Lytechinus pictus: one gene and its partners. The protein of the gene in region 2 purifies or fractionates together with the protein of the main gene of each other region. This does not show direct contact. Links are inferred from orthologs where the notes say so. Each region holds a gene or a part of one and is shown on either strand. Other genes may lie near its edges. The genes, in order: palmitoyl-protein thioesterase ABHD10, mitochondrial-like; E3 ubiquitin-protein ligase KCMF1-like; acyl-coenzyme A thioesterase 9, mitochondrial-like.

Region 1 (8,093 bases), on a different chromosome or scaffold from region 2:
TGTGTAATTCTTAAGATGAAGAAGAGAATATTCTCTTCTTCTCCTTGTTTTTTTTCCCTTTATTTTACTTTTAAGGCTACACTACTTACCTCATGGACATGGCCCCTCTTCTGCTCAGACATTGGTCTGTCAAACTGTACTGCAGTAGCTACCCCAAGCAGTGAGTGGATACGTTCTGGTCTCTCTAATGCTAAAAGCAGCATAATGGCCCCGCCCATACTGGAACCAACAAGAATCTAAAATAAAATGATAATGGATTGAAAAGGTTCTAATAGTCATATTTAAGAAGATTTTTTTTTTTTTTGGGGGGGGTGGTCAGCAGAACTTTGTTTCTTAATCTGACACAGCTTGTTTGCTTTTATAAATAGTAACAACAGAAATACAAACGATTAAAGGGGAAGTTCACCCTGACAAAAAATTGTAAATTGTAAAAAGGGAGAGCAAAACACCCCCCCCCCCTCCCTCCCCTTGAAAGTAAAAAGACATATGAATAGCAACAGAGAAGAAAGGAGAAAAATTAAGAGAGTAAGGTAGAGTGGGGAAGAGAGAGAAAGAGGAAGGAAGAAAAGAGACAGAGAGAGAGAGATTTATAATTATAGAGAGGGGGAAGGCGAGAAGGAGGAAAAAAAAAAGAAAAAGTGAAGGGAAGAAAAATTAGAGGTGAAGTGAGAGAAATAAGAAGGGGGGAACCGACAAACAGACAGAGTAAGATAGAGAATTTGGTCGAATTAACATTTTTTTTTAATTTCTCACCTGAGGCCCTACAGTTAGTTCATCCAGAACAGCAAGAGCATCTGACTTCCATACGTCAAACATCTTTTCTCCTTTCCTCATCTCCCCAATAGACTCACCTAAGCCTTGGTAGTCAAAGCTGGTGGGTAAAAAAGAAGACTTTTAAATATGGCAAGTATGATGATGATAAATTGATGACAATGACGTCATGACAATGACTACAAGTAATTATACATGATGGTGATGACAAGGATGGTGGAGAGGATGATGATGACGATGATGGTGGTGGTGGAGATGAGGAGGGTGATGATGATTGTAAAGATGGTGGTGGTGTTGATGTTGATGATGGTACAGTAATGATGATGATGATAAAGATAAAGATAGTGGTGATAAATTGATGGCATGAGTTCCACTACGAGTTTATTATTTTGATAAAGAATATGAAGATGACGATGATGGCAAATGGTGGTGATGACAATTATGTCAATGATGGGAATCAATTTCGGTTACAGTAACTGATGATGGTAAATTGATGACAATGACCATGGTGATGGTGATAGCAAAGACAAATCAAGATGATGATGATTACTACTGAGAAATTGATGGACCAAAATATGGTTATGATGATTATTAATTGTTCACAATAATGATGATTAGACATCAAATAATCACAACAATGTAAATAAATAATCATGTAGATATACAATAGGCCTACATTTGATTCTTCTATAGACCTAGTCATGCTAGTACTTAGTATTATTTAAATGTCTGACCAATTAACTAAAATTTTGACACTGTACTCATGTACTACTACATCTAGACTCATTTCAAAGACACTACATTTAGACAGATCTAGAATAGATCTAACTTTTTTTTGTTAGTATAGTACAGTCAATGAGTCATGTTGTAGCTAATTTCTTGACCAAACATTCGATTTCTTAACAAAATTTTGTTCTAAACTTATGTTAGGTCTAGAAGTTTTGGGGATTTAAATGTAGAACTAGTCTACATTTAAATCTAAAAATCTCCAGAACATTTAGACATAACTTTAGTTTAGAACAAAATTTTGTTAAGAAAGTTTGGTTATAAATTAGCTATTGGTACATGACTCACTGACTGTATGGTAGTGGATCGTATTACCGAACACTTTTCATGAATTCAATCATATCAAACACATTATTCTCATAAAAATCACCAAACTTTCACCTTAAATACACAATTACCTTCAAAATATAAATATGTAAAAGTTTTGCCAAAATCATTTTTCCTTTTTACGATATTAGCTTCCAATCGGACCCCTCTTCGCATGTGAAATATATGGTCACTTGATAAAGGTATCGTATTACCGAACGTGTGTTTTCTATGGGATAAGTTGAGAAAACAACAAAATTACTGATGTCTAGTGATGAGCTATTTTTACCATATTTTATCACTTTTAGAAATATTAATATTTTGAAAATGTGTTTTTGACCATTTTTCATAATCTTTCTATTCAAGTTCCCTTTGGAAGAATGTTGCAAAGTTTTGAGCATATAAAATTATTTTCTGATGCTACGATGCGCGCGTTCGGTAATACAAGGCTGGTCGGTATTTACGGTAATAGTAATACAATCACTCACTATACTACCAAAAAAAAGTTAGATCTAGATCTAACTTTTTTACATGTAAGAAAAATAAAGAAGTTCAGTCATAATTTTCCAATTAATTTTGACAAGTAACAGTCATTAGAATTCAAAACAAAAAACTGACGTTTAACTTTTAAGATTCTAAAAATACAAATAGTAAAATTAAATTAAAGTTAAGCCTACTCTAGTATAAATTGTATTAATTTCTAATCAATTATACATTTATAGTCTAGATATCGGCATATTCTTCGGAGCCTATTCTTCTTGCATTGTATGTTATGTCGACTCCCGAGTCAGGATTCATAGTCAGGACCTTAAGTGGCTTAACAAATCACTGAAGCGGAACGAGATAAATATATCACGTACCGAACAAAGGCATGCCCACGCCGCCTGCAGTAGCCCTCCAGTGCCACGGCTTTTCCGCCGGTCATGTTGCTCATGTATCCCGGTAAAAACACGACGCCCGGATCTTTCCCGGGCGTTTGACGAAAAGCTATAGATGACGTGTGTGTCCTTTGTAAATGTTCTAGACTCTCCCTGTCGTCTGTCATCATGAATCGCTGCTGGATTTGCAGACGGGAGTTAGATTTGGGAGCAGAAAGACAGAACATGCGAAAATTTAAACAAGACCGAAAATAGCACAAGGGCGCTGACATTTTGTTTTCAGAAAACAGCCACTTATTAGAATATTGAATGCGGACCAACCAACATGTCTGAATAAGGTGTTCGTTTCTTATGCTAAAATATTTTTAATATAAATTTATTTCTATTATAATATTTTTAATTCAAATCATTGTGATTCATTCCCCAAATTTTATTAAAATCTCATCAAAATTATGATTGCAACGCCAAGTTTCCGCGGTTTAGGTTTTCCAATTTCGGATGAAGTATTAAGAATTAAGATTTTTGTAACAAATATGACAATAATAACTATATTAATTTCTTATATGAATTAAATAAATTTATAAAAGTTAGAAATATTTTATTTTATTTTATTTTTAATCAAATAATAATATTATTAGGCTATAATTTTCAAAATTTTGCAGGTAACACAATTAATTCGAGATTGGCAACTTCGTACTCATTCATTCGACGAATTACGCTTTCCGTATCGAAACTTCACACAATCTGAACGATATTTAAAAGAATTCTCGACATTTTGAAGATTTTAAGTGGAAAGATCTATTTGTTAACCATTCTATCCAAGCGCTCATTTCAATGGGACGGCGTAAGGTGAGAAAAAACAGTATTTTCTTCATTTCTTGTCATTTGTGTTGAGTGAGCTGGTGGTGAGATTCTGACTGAGTCTGAGATGAGAGTGAGACTGCACTGTGTCCCGTCCCGTCTGTTGATCATGGCATGATTCATGCCATGTCTCACTAGTCACTGTCTGTGTGTGGTGCCCGTTTGCAATCAATGGTTTGTGACTGTGCAGCGCGGCGGTGGCCGCCGGTGTAGCGGCGGATTTGGTTCCACCGGCAGATATCGTTCTAACTGGCCGATATCGTTTTTAATCGGAACCATATCCGCCGGGTTTGACGCGGCTTGATGTTTACTTTCATATTGTTTGCAGATTTGGTTCTATTTAGTACTATTGACTATACGGTACGTGTAATATTGATTTGGACAGACAACCTCTGCAACGCGCGCATGCGCAGCTCTAGACAGCTGGCAGCCGTCTGTTTCGAGGAGTTTTTTAACATTTTTTTTATTTTAATTTCTCCTCGTACACAGACGGCTCGCTAGCGTGCAGCCACCATTAGGGGACTTGCAATGCAAAATCCCCCCGTCGGGGCTTTTCAATTTTTGTCTTTAATGAATAAAAATTTTGAAAATTAACGCGACCAAAATGCAAATTAATATTCCCTCTTGGCATTAATTGCCAAAAAACGGAGAAAAATCAAGGTAAAAGGAACAAAAACAGTGACTTACCTCGGCTGTCGCGCAAATTCACTTCCCCGTTTTATCCGATCTTAAGTACATAAACATATGGCCATTGAGTCCCCTGTACAGATCGCGCTAGAACTTCGGTCTCTGTATTTGGTGAGTGAAGCCAACGGAGTTCAGCTGAACAACCAACATAACAGAGACCGAAGCTTTTGGTCTAGCGCAGCTCTGGCAATAGTGGCAATGTCGATCTCAATGGGGGGGGGGGATTTTCGTCCGCCTTTACTCTTTAGCAGTAGAGGCGCACGGCCAATATTGGAGACTGTCTCCATTGTGGGAGATTATCTCCAAAATCAGAGACTTTTGTGAAGAATTTGGGTATCCAATTTCAGAGACAGTCTCCAGTTTTGGAGACCAATTTCCTTTGTTTACATTTGCTGCAAAAGGATTACCTTGGCGGCAAATAAAAATGTGATAATCAGATTCCTCATGAAAAATTACCCCTTTTCACCGTCTACTTTAAAAATTCACCATCTACTTTTGTTTTGATAAGGATTTTTGTTGTCAATCACACACAAAACAAATGGGCTTCTGACCTCAGTGAGACAAAATTTTGGGTGGAAAAAATCATGCTTTTGTTGGTGTTGTTTCTGTTGTAAATTGGATTTTTCTTGTATAATATTTCCTTAAAAAGCTAGTCAAAAGGATACTTTGTTTTATTATTTCATTTCAGTATATAATGTGTAAAATGAATCTATATTTCACATTATATCTGCCAACTTTATCTTTAGTACTCTTTCTCCCTCTCTGTACTTCTACCAACTTTGACTTACTCTTTCCCTCTCTGCTCATTGGCTAATTCTTTCCCGCCTTTTTAGGAGTACCGTAAGTAACGGTGTATTAACCGCACCCGTGTATAAACCGCACCCCCAACTTTGGACTAAAAAAAAAAAAAAAAAAAAAAAAAAAAAAAAAAAAAAAAAAATCCTCACATTTACATGCATATTTGAGGTACGAAGAAACAAAAACTAAGTTAAAGATTTCAAAGTATTCAAAGAGATTACCAGTATGCAGAAATCTGCTGTTCTTGATCAATTCATCTACAAATGTTAGCAAGAAAGAAAGGTCCCGCCAATATTGGCAATTTACACACTCACTCACCTCACAGTCACAGTGTACACACACACAGCACTGCCTTTCTTGTACATGTACATTTCAAACTTCGATACGGTACCACTACCAGTACATCTTATCAAATTGTGATCTGTGTCTTTCACATTTCTTGCATCACAACCTCACAATCACTTTCAGAATTTGTCTAGCATTCGATGTCTTAGCATGAATTTTGGATACGGGATTACAGGAAGGTTCAAGAAACAAAGAAATTTGTATTTTTTCCAGTTGTTTGACGGCTTCGTGCCGTCTCTATCGTGCGTGGTGCACGGTGTACATGGTATCTTATGAAAAGCAAACAGGAAAGAAAAAAATAAGCTGGCGCGAAACGGGACTTTGAGGGGTTAAATTAAATGAATAGCGCCAGCTTAAGTCGCACTAAAACCAAAATACAACGCAAGCTAGCTCTTGGCTCTCGCTCAGCTGTGACAAATTATTACCGAGAATGCTTGGCGTCTCTATGAACTTAGCCAGGGAACTTCGCTGCTTTGAATCGAGAATAAAGTCGAAATTAGTGTCATGAAGGTGGGTGCATTTGTTACGACAGTATTTGATCATAAGATCATAATAATCGCTACCCATTACCCGCGGCTCATACCCCTCTAAACGACATTGCACTGGGCGGCTACGGCCGGCCACTCGATGTGTTGTGAACTGGCAGACTTCCTACATGTTCGGGAGGGGCTACACGGGCGGGCTCAGACCCGTCACCGTGTATAAACCGCACCCCCGACTTTTGCTTATATCCCGCCGAGAAAAAGGTGCGGTTAATACACCGTTACTTACGGTAGCAGTAATGCCAATTCATGTACCCCCTTTAGGGATGCTTTTGTACTTTGATGTGCACCATTGCACTTTTATTGTTAGATAGGGAGAGAGTCCAGTGACTCATGACACACTGGCAGTAGCAAGGGCATTCCCACTGTTTGTTGTTGAGGAGGAGACTTGTCCCTACAGAAGAAAGTTTAACTTTGAAGTATAGAAGACTTCTGCAAGGACTTCCTTTCATGTACTTAAGATGTCGAAGCAAAATGCGGAATTAGTGTCTGACCGAGGCTGTTTTTCCCTTGGTAAATAAAAGAACCCAATGAAACCTCAGCCCTTGTGAGTCGTGTCTGTGTTGTGTGGTCGTCGGCGCGAACCCTTTCAATGGTGTCAGAAGTGGGATCATCAGCAACAAGGGACCATCTGGTACGGGCTCTGCAGATATTGGACTTAGAAGAAATCTTGAGAACTTACGTGTATGTGGTCTTATCCTGGTGTCATCGTGCACAACATAAAATTGGAATGACTTTAGACTGGTTCTAAACAGCCTCGGTCAGACTGTATGTAAAATAATGGACAACATTTGTATGCTCTTTTTTCTCTGATTTGTGCAGTGATTGTATTGTGGTTTCGCTATTCTGTATGCAAAGTTCTTTTTATGTGCCAAATTCAAATCTAGGATCATGGAAACCAGATCGAGTTCATCATCAGCTACGACTGAGAATATGGATGTTTTGTCCCAATTCTTCCGCCGTTCAATTGGATTACAAAGTATATTACAGAGCAACTTACCAAAATTCCGAGGGATGCCACATCATGCGGATGATATGTCCTTGTCAGAATGGCTTGAAGAATTTAATGGAGTAACTGCTAACCAAAATATGGAAATGAGTAGCAAAGCTCGACTGTTGCTAGATCACCTTTCAGGACCAGCACGAGAGGAAATAATGTGTCTCAGTGAATCAAAGAGACAGGATTTTGATGAAATAGTAAGTCGTCTGAAATTGTGCTTTGGCTATCAGGAAACCACACAGACCCTCAGTAGTCAGTTTCATAATCGCATACAGAGAGATGGAGAATCACTTTGTGACTTCAGCCGTGCCCTGATTCGCACCTACAACAAGATGGAAAAAGCTGCCACTACACAAGCTCAAGGAGAAGCTTTAAGCCAGTTGAAAAACAAGACCTTAAGTGATCAATTTGTCAATGGTGCCCGGGAGGCTTGGGTGAGGAGAGAGTTGAGGCGAATACAGATGATGCATGAAACCAATGGATTCGCCAAGATTCGTGAGGAAGCCCTCAAACTCTTTCAGGAGACTGCCACCACTCAGAGGCCCAGAGTCCGAGAAGCAGATATCGAAGTTGGAAGGGCAGTCATGAAAGATTCCATGCTTGTGCAACAGGTAGTAGAACAACAGAAAGCTATAATGACGGAGTTGGAGCAACTTAGGGGAGAAGTAGCCAGACTGAAAGGAGGAAAGCCTCAGAGAAAGAGGACTGATGGACGATGCTTCAGCTGTGGTCATAAGGGACATCTACGACGTGACTGCCCCAACATACCTAGCGGTTACCCTGCACATGATTATAATTACTCTGCTGGCAACTGGCATCAGGAGAATCAAAGCTTCCCCACTTGGAGCACGGAATCAGGTACCATGACAGTTTCAATAGGCCAACAGTCTACCAGTCCTCATCACAAGGAGCTGCCAGTATTCCTCACCAACATATCGCATCCCAGCAGGAAAACTAGACCCCTCTGTTGTTGAGGGCCAAACGGCAGAGGACAATAGAAAGCAATATTATACAGAAGAGCCCATAGAAGGAACTGCAACCTATCCACAAACTGATGTGTCATTTGGTGGTAATTCAGAGGATGTCAATGAATCCAGTGTGGCACAAGGCAGACAGACT
Region 2 (8,076 bases):
TATCATGCTACATGTATGTGACGCAACAATATAATACGGTACTGTAATATGTAAACACTGTTATTTTGGCGGGATTAATTTTTCTCGCTTGGCAGCTTCAAAACATATTCGCAAGTTCTTGAATTCACGCTGCACACTCCATAATCACAGAGTCACTTCCTTCTTCCCCATGTGTGAATGATTATAATTAACATTTCAGCAACGAAATTATATTTTCTGATCATAATTCTTGCTCTAAAGAGGCATAATTCAGCATTGTTTTGATCCGATCATGAGCTTTTGTGACATTTAGCGCAACTTTTCTTTGTGGGGGGGGGGGACATCTGGGAAGGCAAAACAGAGGCGCTGCTGGCCTGGTAGGACAGCCGAGCACTGGGTAAGGACCGGGGGGATTACGGCTATTCAAACAAAGTGCATGGGATCAATCAACAAACCTTGCCTGCATGGCCTGGGCGATCAACAAGACATCTTCTTAAAAACTAAACAGATCTAGAGTTAAACACTCACCAATCAAACTGCAAAAAGAACTTATACATGTATTTCAAGCAAAATCAAAATTTAGAGTCTCAATACCGTTCTGCGACTTAAAAAAATGATCGCATTGGAACAAATTCTGGTGATGCATATGAATGATTTTGGAGCTCAAGCCCAAGCTTGCTTGCTTAAATGTTGCCCTCTATAGGTCAAATTATGCAGCCAAAATGATACATGCAATTGAACCGGAGTTCAAAACTTGTATTACAATAGATGCTCAGAGACATAAATTCGCATGTTTTAAAATTAAATTCGCGCTCGCTGATCAGTAGAGGCGCTGGTCAGAAAATTGGGATCATCCCAGTTTACAGGGACTGTCTCAGTTTTTAAAGACTTCTTCACACAAGAGATCTAGTAAAGTTCATTCACCTGTCAAGTGCAGACACTAATCAAGTGCGCTAGTCAATGTAAACATATCAGGTTTCATAACAAGATTATTGGAAGACGGTAAATCATGAAAAATAGACGGTGAGCTGGGGGGAATTGAGGTCACTGAATCTATCTTTAGCACTCTCAATTCCGTAATTGATGTCTTTGTCCCGTAGGCGGAAGTGAAAAAAAAACGTCCCCATAAACAAGGACAGTCTCAATTTATCAAGACATGATTTGTCTTGGTTTATGAAGATATCCTTGTTTTCTGGGACAATCCCAATTTTTGGACCAGCGCCTCTACTGCTGATCAATCTTGCCACGAAAAGACCACACCACAAAAATTTCCACTTTTAGACCTTGGTCTTGTCTACATGTACTTACTTGTTATTGCAGTAGAATAGATTTTAACTTTGTTAATAGACCCTGACGTAAATGAATCTGATCGAGCTCAATCTTCTTTTATTTTTATCAGGGCCTAGTATAGTGAGACGACTGAGACCACCACATATCGACCACTTCTTTTGAAACCGACCACCTTGCGCGCATTAAAATTATTGCGTATTACTATTATGGTGAGACTACCACATATCGACCACCTCTTTTGAAACCGACCACCTTGCGCGCGTTAAAATTATTGCGTATTACAAACGATACGCGCGGGAGAGTAGGCGCAGTGTCCATAGGAACGGTAAGAATCGATTTTACGAGAAAAAAAGAACAAAAAGTAAAAATTTAGTAGAATTAATCAAAATTGTATTGACCAGACCCAATTCCCGCTGAAAAACCAAGAAATCCGATAGGAAACGGCTTTAGAACAAATATCCGTCGTCAATCGTCGAATTATGTGCCGGAGCTCGCAGTGGAAGTAGTGAGACGATCATTTAGCATGTTGACATCATAGAACTGATTTGGAAGAGTAAAAATATTTCGCCACCGCGACAAAAATCGGCCGTAAACTTAGTGTATCGCGGGTGGTCGGTTTCAAAAGACGGGTGCAAATGAGCAAATGTAAAATCGTCGTATTCGTTGTTCGTCGATATATACCCGGATTGAATCGGAGTCGCCGAGCGAAACATGGGAATCTGATCTGCTCAATTTTCTGCACAAATGAGACTAAAACTGGGTAAAATTGATGAATATTTTCGCAGATACGATGCTGAGAAGATTAGGTGGTCGATAAGGGGTAGTTCCAACCATACAAACGATACGCGCGGGAGAGTAGGCGCAGTGTCCATAGGAACGGTAAGAATCGATTTTACGAGAGAAAAAGAAGGGGAAAAAGGTAAAAATTTAGTAGAATTCATCAAAATTGTTTTGACTAGAGCCAAACCCGGCCGAAAAACAGTTGTTCATACCAAGAAATCCGATAGGAAACGACTTTAGAACAAATATCTGTCGTCAATCGTCGAATCATGTGCCGCAGCTCGCAGTGGAAGTAGTGAGACTGAGACGATCATTTAGCATGTTAACAATAACATCATGGAACTGATTTGGAAGAGTCAAAATATTTCGCCACCGCGACAAGAATCGGCCGTAAACTTAGTGTATTACGGGTGGTCGGTTTCAAAAGAAGGGTGCAAATGAGCAAATTTTATGCAAAATCGTTGTATTCGTTGTTCGCTGATTTACTGATTATTTAGACTCTACGCAAATTGAATCGGAGACGGAGTCGCCGATCGAAACATGGGAATCTAATCTGCTCAATTTTCTGCAGAAATGATACGAAGACTAGGTAAAACTGATAAATATTTTCGCAAATAAGATGCTTAGAAAATTAGGTGGCCGATAAGGGGTAGTTCCACTTCCAACCATACTGCCACTGCACTGTTTTTACTGTGCCTGGGTCGGGGATTCTGTGGGTCCTTTTCACACATAAAGCCTATGGGATAATGCTGACATGTTCCGGTTTCTGCAATCTGCTTACCTTCATGTCGGGACATCCTAGGCAAAAACTCGGCCCCAATGTAGACTCAAAATCCATTCACAGCTTGAGCAGAGTCTTGTGATATGAAAATTTCATAAAAATGTTAAATACAGGTTCCACATGAAAAATAAACGATGTTTTTATGTCCAATTATGCACCCATATTCGTCAAGATCAAAAGTGCTCAACCCCATGAGCAGTGATGTCACAACCTCAAATATATGTTTTCTGAATAGAAATATAAAACTCCTAATCAAATACAATTTTTATATATTTTTACGTAAAAAGAAAATTAAAAAGATATTTAAATATTTTTTTATATTTTTATCTTAGACGATATTCCTAAAACAAGAGGAATTTTACAAAAGTCCTCAGTGTTTCATACATCAAAATGGCAGCAAACTCCCGTGTCTTCGTTTATGGTGGAAAAGGTGCCCTTGGTTCACAATTGGTGAATTTTTACAAATCAAAGAACTGGGTAAAGTGTTGAGAACTTGTATTTGCATTGATGTTACTTTTTTCGGAGTTCAAAAAAATAACTACAAAGAAAAATAGGGTCGGTTACTTAAGTGAATCATGCACACAATTTAGTACGGTCCCATCCGTTGTTATATTTGTTGGAAGCAGCTTGCGCTGTGGCGGCTTCCAAAAAGTTTTTGAGATTGGGGCTTTATTGGGCCGCAGGGCAGGGTTGGTGAAGAAAAGGTATACGGTCTCCCTGGAGCTAACAAGCAACAGGTATGCCAAGCTAACAACATAGCATGGGGCCATGGGCATGGTAATTAAATACCTTCTTCTGTGTCGAATGCCTCCGTTCACCGGAGAACTGCAACTTGCAATTGCAAGCCTTTTTCAGTACGACATGGTCATGGTGATGGGAATCGGAACCACTCATACGTAGTATACTAACCTCGCACCATGAACCGCGTTTGGCAGTGGATTTCTAACTAACTTTTGTTAGTGGGTCGCGCGTGCTGGGATCTTACTTCTAAGTTCTGGTGTCCACAACAAGTAATAATATGGCTTGATTTTTCTGTGCGCGACGGCATGTAATAATGAACCCTTGAGTGAATCGGAACCGCTGACGCTGTTATTGTTAATTTTGTACAGCAGACTCGGTCTCACTAATGTTCATTGTCAATGAACAAGGTTAGAATATAACCTTGTTCTCTGTTACTAGAGTCTACCCCTTTGTGGGGAAATAAGGTTGGCAATGCAATATTTGGCTTATTTTCTCTTGTTCTCTTACTAACAAATGCTTGATTTTTAATATCAGTTTCCATTTACAAGTGCAACTAACAGATGTAGACTAACTTGTTGCGTTAGATGATAGATCTATTCATCATATAACTTGGCTCGTAATAAATTGAATTCTTTTAGATATTAATTTTTCTAAATAATAGAAATATAGATTGAAAAACAACAATTTTCTTGAGATTTTACATTCCACCAATAGAGGGCTTACACAAAAATATGCACAATTTGAGCACTCTGGTGAATACAAAAACGATTCCCAAGTTAGTGAAAAATAAATTGCAAGTGTATGGAAATTAGTATTTTTGTTCCCGAAAGTGGCATTTTAATGCATTGTTTAAATGTGTGTTGTATACTGCATAGACCTACATTTACATGTAGATTCCCCACAGGCAGGGTGGTTGCAGTGAACAAGTGGTCTCAGTGAAGTTAGAACAGACATGCCACAAAAGATAGATTTTCCCCCCGCTTTCAGTTCTACATTCGTTTGTGTGTGCCATTTTTGTCATGTTCGTTGATGTAATTTTTTATTTATTTTGATAGTTTTTATTGGTCATTCAATTAGAAAACATATCTCATTATCTGATACATATTAAATCTGAAACATACATTAAAGATACATAGATCTGGGTCTAATCTGATAAAAATCTTATAAAACTTGCAATTGCGCAAAAACATACTTTTATATACCATATAGATATGCCTACATCCTATGTAAGGGCAAAGTCTATGAATGGGTTTATTCCGTCATAATAGACATTTCGACGTATAGGCGAATGTAGAGGGCGTTTAGGCGAATTGTGAACAATGAAAAAAATACAAAAGATTCGCCTTTCCGGCGGATCTAGTATGATATATATATATAATGTAACATAAAAAATGAGTGCAGGCTTAATCAAATCAAATAAAACTGAATGAGTATTATATTAAAAGCGGTTTTTAATTGATGGATCATGAACAATACTAAATTATTAGTGGCCATGATTTCTGTTATGTTCCTATCAGGGATATGCTCATATTTAACTTCTGCTTGATAGCCACCCCTGCAAGGATTTAAATGTACATGTAGACCAATGCTGTAGATGACTAACTGGATCTACTCAACAAATACTGATGTTACAAGGTTACATAGGCTAATAATATCCGTCTGTATTTTCCAAAAATACATGTCACTTGCACTTATAAGGCATCAAAACATGCTTTACATATTTCAGGGCACTCTGGTAAACAATTTAGGGTAAAATGATCATTAAAATCTAACCAAAAAGGGTTTGCTGCTTTTTGAGACAGATTCTAACTTAGCCCAGTAATCTTTTTTTTTCTCTCTCCTTTGCTCCTTTTCTAGTGGGTATTATCTGCAGATTTGGCCCCCAACGAGCAAGCAGATGCTAATGTCATCATCAGTGAGCTGAATGCCTGGACCCCGCAGTCGGAAGAAGTCTACTCTAAGGTGGAGGAGGCCCTCTCTGGTCAGAAGTTAGATGCGATCCTATGTGTAGCAGGGGGATGGGCTGGAGGAAATGCAAAGTCCAAAGGTGTGCTACTCATTATTTTATCACAAATATCTGGTATATAGGTTTAATCAATTAAAAATGATGCATCAATGATTTGAAAGTCATATTGGTCTTTTTTGCATTTTAGGCAGATATTGTACAGTGATTATGGGAATGTGATATCTTCATAAGATTGAAAGATAGTGTGTTTGTCAAAGCTTTTACAGATCCATTACTTTCTATAATCTAGATGGTGAAATTTCCCTTTTGAATTTTTTCCCCTTATGTTTCCTTTAATTCTATCTTTTAGGGTGAAAAAAGGTGTATTTTCTTGATTCACTTTCTGTTTTCTGTGTGTAGAGTGACCATGTATGACTGTTAAATATGAAGAGGTTTATTTTCAAGTTGTTTGTAACATTAATACACATCTGAATTTAAACAAGAGTTGGTTACATTTACTCTTTAATTTTGGAGCAGTAGAAGGGAATTAATCAGAAATATTTTTAGCCACTGGTAAACTTTATATGTTGTTTAGATATATTTCTAGTTATTTAAAAAAGTTAATAGTTTATACGTCTTTCATTGTAGGAACTTAGGAAGATTTTCTCTTTAATTTGATGTTGAGGTCAGCTATGTCATATGTTGATGCACACTTTTTCTCTGCGTTTGATTTTACAAATGAGTAGAGCACTTCAGTGTGAGAGTAGTTGAAGAAGAAGATGTTAACAATGTGTGTAGATTATCAGACAACCGAAAAATAAAATGGATAACTTTAAATCATATTATTTGAAGAAAAAAAAAATCACCATGTGCTGTCTTCATGAGATACGATAATAACATAGTGCCTATTTTAGTTTTCAGATTTTTGCTGGATTTATATACTCTTTTGTGGATTTTCCCCCTTTTTTATCAGGTTCTAATGTTGCTATCTTCATTAGATGATAACATGGTGTCATTCATTTTTTCATTGTTTTCGTATGTCCCCCAGTCAGAGCCTGTTTTTTTTTTAATTATTATTATCTTTTTCAGACTTCAGTAGCACATTTCTTGTGCACATATTGACTTGGTAAATATAAAGATTTTTTTTTAATATATCTCTGTAGACCTGGTGAAGAATGCTGACCTGATGATTAAACAGAGTTGCTGGACATCAGTCATCTCAGCTGGAGTTGCTGCCAGGCATTTAAAGGAGGGTGGCCTACTTCAGCTGACCGGTGCATACCCTGCGCTAGAAGGAACTGCAGGTCAGATAATAATATATACAACAACATGTGACCCTCCAACACAAAATTACCAAATCAACTAAAAATTTAGATGTGTTCTTAGTTTTTAATACTAGTCTATAACTTGTTGTGTTTCATAGAAAAATGCCCTTTTGAATAATTTTGATAATGTGAGAATGTTAGACAATTTACTTGAAAAATAAGATTTTGAAAAATGGGTTCATATGATGAGACCAGTATGCTATGCAGAGTTAGATCTAATTCCCAAAGTACAACTACAAACAGATTGACTCATAATCCTTATGAATCAATATAAAGATACATGTATCATTGGATTGAACTTTATAAAGATTTATGAGTTTCTGGCTTGTAATGAGATCAGGCACATCATTTTCAAATCCTTAAAAAATGTAATTTGTAGACTATATCTGGCACTGAAATGTTGATACATGATAGATCTATGTCTGAAGTATTTGTCATGAATTTTAATATAAAATATTCTAACTAAAGAATGTCATTCTTTGATTAATTGTAGGTATGATGGGTTATGGTATGGCTAAGGCAGCTGTTCATCAACTCACCAAAGGTCTTGGTGCTGATAACAGTGGATTACCAGCAAACGCTACAGCTCTTGCCATCCTGCCGTAAGTAATTCAATGGTTCTTGTAGCTAAACTAATGTTGCCAAGAGAGATAATTTCAAGAGAAAGCCTTGAAAACCAAGATTAGTTTTCACTTTATTACTATAGGTCTAGATCTGTAAACCATGCTAACTAAAGCAAATACTAGAATCCCATGACCTATATTTGCAACCCATCCCTGAGGCGAAAATGTGAATATTTACTTTCGGGAGCTACTTTTCACAAATGATTGTCTAAATCTGCAACATTAACTAAGCAGTAAATGGGAAATTTTTTTGGGGGGGGCTCTCTTCTAATTTCTAAGGCTCTTTTGAGTATATCAGGTGCAAGATTGCCCTGAGCCTCTGTAATTTTTCCCCAAACTGATCACATTGCACCTTTTCATTAGCTTATAACATTTTATTGTAACAATGCATTAATTACTAGCTTTATTAATGTCATGTAGAGGATTTGTTATGACCAAAGTACAAATAATGTCCAATGGCCATAGAGTGATTAGTTATTGAACAATTTTCCTTTATTCTTATTTCAGGGTTACCTTAGATACACCGATGAATAGAAAGTTCATGGCCAATGCTGATTTCTCCTCATGGACTACATTGGAATATGTATCAGAGTAAGTATTGATTCTTTTCTT
Region 3 (7,213 bases), on a different chromosome or scaffold from region 2:
AACCAGGAAGGAAGGTAAAGCACCCGTTCACACCACGGAAATACGTACACCAGTTGGTTTTAATCCGGGTTGCGTTTCTCGATGATCATGAAAGATGAGCTAGAGAAAGGTGGTGAAGCCAACTAGAATACATTTTAAAAGGTCAGAGGCACTAGCGTACCTACGGGGGGGGGGGGGGCAGGGGGGGCACTCTGCCCCCCTGACGAGTCACAACCCATGCAAAAACGTATCTTTGCCCTCCCTGACGGGCTTGAAAAACCTTTTTTGCCCCTCTGACGAGCTTTAAGTCCTTCAATGCCCCCTGACTTGAAGACCTTTTTTTTTTTTTTTTTTTTTTTTTTTTTGCTTGTTAAATTTTTGGGCGGACGGTTTTGCCCCCCCCTGTGGAAAATCCTAGGTATGCCACTGGTCAGAGGCCTTTTAATACAGAAATCATGTACAATAAAAACAATAGAGGGCCGAGTATTGAACCCTGCGAAATTCCGCATTTTGCAATATTAAGATAAAACTTATCACTACATTGTTTGCGATTACCTAAATAACTTTTGAAAAGATCCAATGTGATTCCTTTAATTCCATAAGAGTTTAGTTTTTTCTAATAAAATAAAATGGTCGATCTTACCGAAAGCTCAGCTGAGATCTATAAACAAGCAATCATAATTTCTTCATCATCTATTGCATGCACGAGTAACTTTCTGAATAAAATTTACCAATAAAGCAGATGTGGAATATCCTGGCTAAAACCATATCATTAGTAGGGTTCAATACATTGCACTTTATGATAAAATTTAACAATCGGTTATAGATAGATACATTTTTCTAATATTTTAGAAAAGATAGCTTGTATACTGCATGAGATAGGTCGATAATTAGACATAATTTCAGAAGGACCCTTTTTTTATGAACTGGAATAACTTTTGCAATCTGTAGTTGACATGGAAATGATCCCAATTCAAAACACTTATTAAATAATGCACTTAATGGCTCACTGCTGATCAAAATAGTTTTTTTTTAATGACCGACATTTCTATACTATATATACCATTATAGCTTGGACTTGTATTTAACAATAACAATATTAATTATTTCAGTGCTTGAAATAGGTCTGAAATATGCAGTTTGATTATTAATAGACAAATATGATTTAAAGTCATGGCCAGAACAAGAAGAAAAGGAACAATTTATATCATAATATATCCCTCTTAATTGTTAGGGACGTATAATTTTATTATTTTGTACACTCTTGATAAGCACATTTTGATAAGGGAATTGTGATGTTCTTGCACACAGGTGAATGCGACTATATATTATAGTCTTTCTGGTGATAGGCCTATACCAGGGGCCGCGGAACGGTTTTCAAAGTGGGGGGGGGGGGGCTGACCATGCAAAAATCACAATCATATGGTAATTTTTACGTTTTTGTACACGGTTTTGGAAAAAAGTGGGGGGCTGAAGCCCCCCCCCCCCCCCCGCTCCGCGGCCCCTGTATACGTCTATGTATTTCTTTTAAATGTTTATATGTTTTTGTTCATCTTGATTTTTCGGATGATCTGCAGAATAACCGATCTAATAATTGTTCATTAAAAAATATTTGAAATTAACAAATGAAAAAAAATCAACTCGACAAATTTCCCAAAACCCCACCTTATTTTTTAGAGTGGTCACAAAATTCGAGCGGAGTTGACCTTCCTTAGCTAGATAGAGCAACACGTTTGTGTGTTGCTGCCCTCTACGTTCGTTTGTCTACGTCTATTACAACGAACGTAGAGGGCAGCAACACACAAGCGTGTTGCTCTAAGGAAGGTCAACTCAATACGCGCATGCAGCTGAGGTACGCGCATATTTTATCATTTATGCCAACGAAATCATACGCCGATCCAATACAACAACAAATTAGTAGCGATCACGAAAACAATATGAAAGAATATGACTACAACGATATCAAAGATAACATTAAAAAATTATGTTGGAGAATATACGTACATTTGAAAACATACGTTGATATTTAAAACTTTACAAATATAAGTTTTAGAAACTAAATCATTACCAAATCGGTGATTGTTGTTATCAGCGATTTCACCAGACGGCTGTATTAAGGCGACCGCACACCTTACGATTGGTCTGCGACCCGATTTCAGAATGAAATGTAGTAGAATTTGATGCTAACATTGAGATTTGGAATATCTTACTGTGTAATGTTCTAAATCATCGTACGAATACCTATGTTCAAATCTGTGACTATGCTATCATCCTTCTTAGAATAAAAGCGAATTTAATATCTAGTCGTAATGACGTCATAGCAGTCGTACGATTGGCTACGATTTGAAACTAATTTGGCCTTTACTCAGAAATAAAGGCTTGCAATCTTTCAAAATGGTTATATTAGTATTCTTTCAATTAATTTAAACCTCAAATTAAATGATATGTTCCATTCACATTTTCAGAAAATGAGCAAAATGCGATTTGTTCCAAAATCGGATCGCGGACAGTCGTAAGGTGTGCGGTGGCCTTTAGGTGATTTGCGTCGAGACGATTTTGTGACCACTCGCAAAGCATTTCGGGATTGAATATGACCACCTTATTTTCTCTGAGCTCTTCGCTGAATCCATCATCACAGTGCAGCTGCAGCGCAGCGCGCAGCCAATGCAATGCATCCGATGCGTGGGTTGTTGTTTTTCGACGTCCATGCCATGGTCTCGGACTCGGAGTTGAAATTTAGACCCGGATTTCGGGGATACAGCGCCTTTATTTCAGATTTATAGACTTAAAAGTCAAATGACAATTAAAATTTGAAATCTAACCTTGAACAATCATCGTTGATTAACATCAGCCCTGAAGCCATTACACTTCAAATCAGGCCAGGCAAATTAGACGTCATTGTCTATGTTGCTAGAAGATCTATGACGAGTCGCCTGAAGCCCCAGCGCATCATCAACGTCACTATAGCTAGCTGCGCGACCGGCCCAGACTCGGCGCACCCAGGCCGGAAAAATGACCTCGATTATTACGGTGGTTGTCTATGCATTTATTAGTGGTGCAGCGAAATTCAGCAGAAGAAAATAACAGATTAGGGGTATCCTCGTCATAGACTTAATATTCCAAAATGAGGAAAAATGTCAAAATCATGATTATTGAAGCTAAATATTTTCTTTAAAAATAAGAATAATATTTTTAATATTTATACCCAGAATAAGCGATCTAATAATTGTTCATTAAAAATATTTGAAATTATCAAATGAAAAAAAATCAACTCGACAAATTTCCCAAAACCCCACCTTATTTTTTAGAGTGGTCACAAAATTCGAGCGGAGTTGACCTTCCTTAGCTAGATAGAGCAACACGCTTGTGTGTTGCTGCCCTCTACGTTCGTTGGTCTAATATAACGTGAAATATACTTTTCTTCTGGCAGCGCAGTGGACCCATGAGAAGAGTTGTCGTTAAAAAAATCACTGGACAATCACTGTCTCACCCGGCTTGAATTGAAGTCCTTTTGATAAGGTGAGCCAAGATTATATAGGTTTACATGACAAATTTATCGTTGCTTACCTGCATAAACTTGAACTTAAAATATTTTTTTTTAAAGTAAACTAACGCCGTGTTGTGTAGTCCGTATCCGGTCCATACACCAGCTCAACCCGTCATGCCCGTGCGTGCGATTCTTATGCATATAGGGCGTAGGGGCAATCACGTTTCTGTGTTTCGATTCGACCGTTTTTTTTTTCTACCTTTGACTTGACTTGCACGTTTGCATAAATTTTGATCACTTACTTCAGTCAATAATAAAAAATAATACTGTGAAGATGAAGTCCTACTGAGACCGACTGAGATGGGAGGCAGTGTAGCTCAGAGTCAGACTCGGTCGGTTAGACTAGTGACTCACTAGTTACTATATGGTGAGACTACCACATATCGACCACCTCTTTTGAAACCGACCACCTTGCGCGCGTTAAAATTATTGCGTATTACAAACGATACGCGCGGGAGAGTAGGCGCAGTGTCCATAGAAACGGTAAGAATCGATTTTACGAGAAAAAAAGAAGCAACAAAAAGTAAAAATTTAGTAGAATTAATCAAAATTGTATTGACCAGACCCAATTCCCGCTGAAAAACCAAGAAGTCCGATAGGAAACGGCTTTAGAACAAATATCCGTCGTCAATCGTCGAATCATGTGCCGGAGCTCGCAGTGGAAGTAGTGAGACGATCATTTAGCATGTTGACATCATAGAACTGATTTGGAAGAGTAAAAATATTTCGCCACCGCGACAAGAATCGGCCGTAAACTTAGTGTATCGCGGGTGGTCGGTTTCAAAAGACGGGTGCAAATGAGCAAATGTAAAATCGTTGTATTCGTTGTTCGTCGATATATACGCGGATTGAATCGGAGTCGCCGAGCGAAACATGGGAATCTGATCTGCTCAATTTTCTGCACAAATGGGACTAAAACTGGGTAAAATTGATGAATATTTTCGCAGATACGATGCTGAGAAGATTAGGTGGTCGATAAGGGGTAGTTCCAACCATACTTAGATTAGAAACTTAGGTCTTAGACTTGGTCTTAGAGCGCCTGTTCCGGATAAGATCGTACTCGTAGATCTCAACGTGCGTGGGTTCGAGTCCCGCAGCATGCCGGAAGACGTCTTACAAAAAAACTGATGCTAGCGTTGTGTGTTAACGTGCCTCACCGCTGTGTTCAGTGCGGGTGTGAATGCAGTTGGAAAACACTCCGTCCATCGGAAAGGACGCAAATGTTGGTCCCGTGTATAGCTACTATAGGAGAGTCACAACCTATTCACGTTAAAACCAATACACTATTCGTCAAAGAGTAGGGTGTTCACCCGGTGTATTGCACCTGCCGGTCCCCGGTACTACAATACTGCAAGAATCTTCAGGATTGAAGGAGGCAGTGTAGCTTGAAGAAGAAGAAGACTAACATGACTAAGAATAAAGATTAAGAACAAGATCGATCGATGCTGAAAGTGAACTGAAAATAATGGAGCTTAAAATTCCCGATGGCGATGTGGCAAGGCCAAGCCAGGGGCAGGGCAAAAGCCAAGCCCAAGGCACCCATGCCATGGGTGCATTACTGCCGCCATGTAGGATGGGGGTCGGGTGTCCGGACACTTTATATTTTTGAAGCCTTCTTTTTTGTCTTTGTTTGGATTACACTAAGAATATGAATTTAATCTAAATTGTAGTCATCTTCTATTTTGTTCTTTATAATATTTCCTAACAGTAACATTTTGTACTAAAAATTGCTGAAACTTCGCTTGTAAATTTTTCCAAATGACTTTCTAAAATTGATCGTCCAACTGGGTGTACAGGAAAAATGAAGGCAAGGCGCATGCAAAATTGCAACAAACTCCTGCAAATTTCAGAAGATGATTCATAAAATCAAATCCTATGAAACTTACCGAACGATGCATGTCATGGAAGTCAATTCCCCCTAATGCATGTAATATGATGAATATCCCTCAAATAGCGTCAATTTAAGCATTGATTTTTCTTCTCGTTGACAAAATACGGAGCTTGCTTCTATTTCCCAAATATTTTTCCGTCTAATTAGCTAGAGAGGGCGCGCGATTTATCCTCATATCAAAGACACTACAATTAATTAATTAATTTAAGGGAAAGACTACTTGGATTTACTTGGATGTTGAGATGTAAAGCAATCTGCTTATGTGCTACTCGTTGATTTTCTTATCTTTGGTAAGGTCTGTACTTCAGAGGATGGTTGTGCCAAAATTTTTCAAGTCTGGATTTGAACTGATTTAGACTATTTGCACAAAAACAGTTTTGACTAGGCACAAAAACTGTATTACACGTAAAGTCGATGCAAGCGTTACGTGAAGTCGGCAAAGTGTCCAATGTGTGTCTCTATTTTATCAAACAATCATAGGAAATGCGCATACAATAAATCAAGGATCTAGTTTAAAAATACTGACAAGCTGAATTAAGGTTGTGAATTGTATTAGCGCCAGTAACGACCTTCCTTTCATTTCCGTGGAAGAGACATGCGAAGCCACTTTCCAGGCCGAGGTTAGCGAGTTTGCTCTTTTTTATGTGCTTTTTATATTTAAAATATTTTTAAAATTGAAAATAGAACGCTTTTCAACAAAAAAAAGCCCTGGTGAGTAGCTGAATGAGTTTCGGCTAACATTATTTGTGTTATGAAGCGATGTTAACTGACATCTCTAAAATCCATTGCGTAAACACGTTCGTAGTGCAAGGTTAGTATAGCATACTTACCTTGCAATACGTGTGAGTGAAGCCAAGGCAATGTTGTGGCTGAGCCTGAAGTGTTTTTACGTAGTTGAATGTTTATGGCAGCTGTTGAGGCTACTGGGGCTATTGAGATGAATAGGGTGTTAAATGAAAGGTCTTGATGAGCTCTAAATGATGCTCTGAAACAAACACCTCAGTTCTCAATTTTTTTTGTAACATACCTACATGTACAAATGGAAAAAAAAAAAAAAAAATTCTACGTACCTTGAACAAAGCCCGCAGTGCTACCTTTCGTTTGTCAAGAAACTTTCCACCAAAGTCTTTACAGTAAAACGGTTCACACTTTGCCGACTTCACGTAACGCTTTGCATCAATTTATGTGTAAAATAGTTTTTGTGCCTAGTCTTTCCCTTGTGTCTTTGATATGATGATAAATCGCGTGCCCTCTTTAGCTAATAAGACGAAAAATTTCGGAAATAGAAGAAAGCTCCGTATTTTGTGAACGAGAAGAAAAATCAACGCTTAAATGACGCTATTTGAGGGATATTCATGATATTAGGGGGAATTTACTTCACATCGTTTAGTAAGTTTCGTATAAGGACTCGATTTTATAAAACCTCTTCTTAAATTCGCGTAAGGGCCATGCAATTGTTGCAATTTTGCATGCACCGTGCCTTCAATTTTCCTGACACAGCGGCATGTAATGCACCCATTTGTGGCTTAAGTCCACCCCTTGGCTTGGCCCCATTGGTGTTTCTTTTTTTTTTGGGGGGGGGAGTAATACATGTACATGTATGATGTATGTTCACAACCCAAAATGCAGTTGTAAATTTGTATATTTTACTGATGAGATTCTGAAGTTATACAATATGTAAGTTCATAGCGGATGCAAATTGCTCAAAAACACAAATCAAATGCAAATTAAGTTTCTAATAAAAACTCATGTTTCATTATATTACTTTTCATGAAAAAAAATTTATGTGCTTTTAA

What was found.
Region 1: the proteins of E3 ubiquitin-protein ligase KCMF1-like (region 2) and palmitoyl-protein thioesterase ABHD10, mitochondrial-like purify together in Homo sapiens (affinity purification with mass spectrometry; 3 studies listed by BioGRID and IntAct, counting the BioPlex papers as one, with this or other methods). This does not show direct contact. The link is inferred for Lytechinus pictus from reciprocal best matches to the Homo sapiens genes KCMF1 and ABHD10.
Region 3: the proteins of E3 ubiquitin-protein ligase KCMF1-like (region 2) and acyl-coenzyme A thioesterase 9, mitochondrial-like purify together in Homo sapiens (affinity purification with mass spectrometry; 3 studies listed by BioGRID and IntAct, with this or other methods). This does not show direct contact. The link is inferred for Lytechinus pictus from reciprocal best matches to the Homo sapiens genes KCMF1 and ACOT9.

Annotation. Positions count from the first base shown.
Region 1 is NC_087252.1:503,551-511,643, reverse strand, and holds the start of palmitoyl-protein thioesterase ABHD10, mitochondrial-like, read right to left. Parts: upstream 3,088-8,093; 5' UTR 3,014-3,087; coding exon 2,724-3,013; intron 872-2,723; coding exon 754-871; intron 237-753; coding exon 90-236; intron 1-89. UniProt on the Homo sapiens protein: Acts as an acyl-protein thioesterase that hydrolyzes fatty acids from acylated residues in proteins.
Region 2 is NC_087256.1:14,249,406-14,257,481, reverse strand, and holds the start of E3 ubiquitin-protein ligase KCMF1-like, read right to left. Parts: upstream 3,066-8,076; 5' UTR 2,847-3,065; coding exon 2,831-2,846; intron 1-2,830. Other genes in the region: dihydropteridine reductase-like, read left to right, coding at 3,221-3,307, 5,429-5,618, 6,680-6,820, 7,335-7,443, 7,972-8,055. UniProt on the Homo sapiens protein: E3 ubiquitin-protein ligase which accepts ubiquitin from an E2 ubiquitin-conjugating enzyme and then transfers it to targeted substrates, promoting their degradation by the proteasome.
Region 3 is NC_087260.1:23,355,249-23,362,461, forward strand, and holds the start of acyl-coenzyme A thioesterase 9, mitochondrial-like, read right to left. Parts: upstream 3,056-7,213; 5' UTR 2,843-3,055; coding exon 2,802-2,842; intron 2,550-2,801; exon of another isoform or gene 2,437-2,549; intron 2,163-2,436; exon of another isoform or gene 2,048-2,162; intron 100-2,047; exon of another isoform or gene 1-99. UniProt on the Homo sapiens protein: Mitochondrial acyl-CoA thioesterase. Catalyzes the hydrolysis of acyl-CoAs into free fatty acids and coenzyme A (CoA), regulating their respective intracellular levels. Regulates both mitochondrial lipid and amino acid metabolism.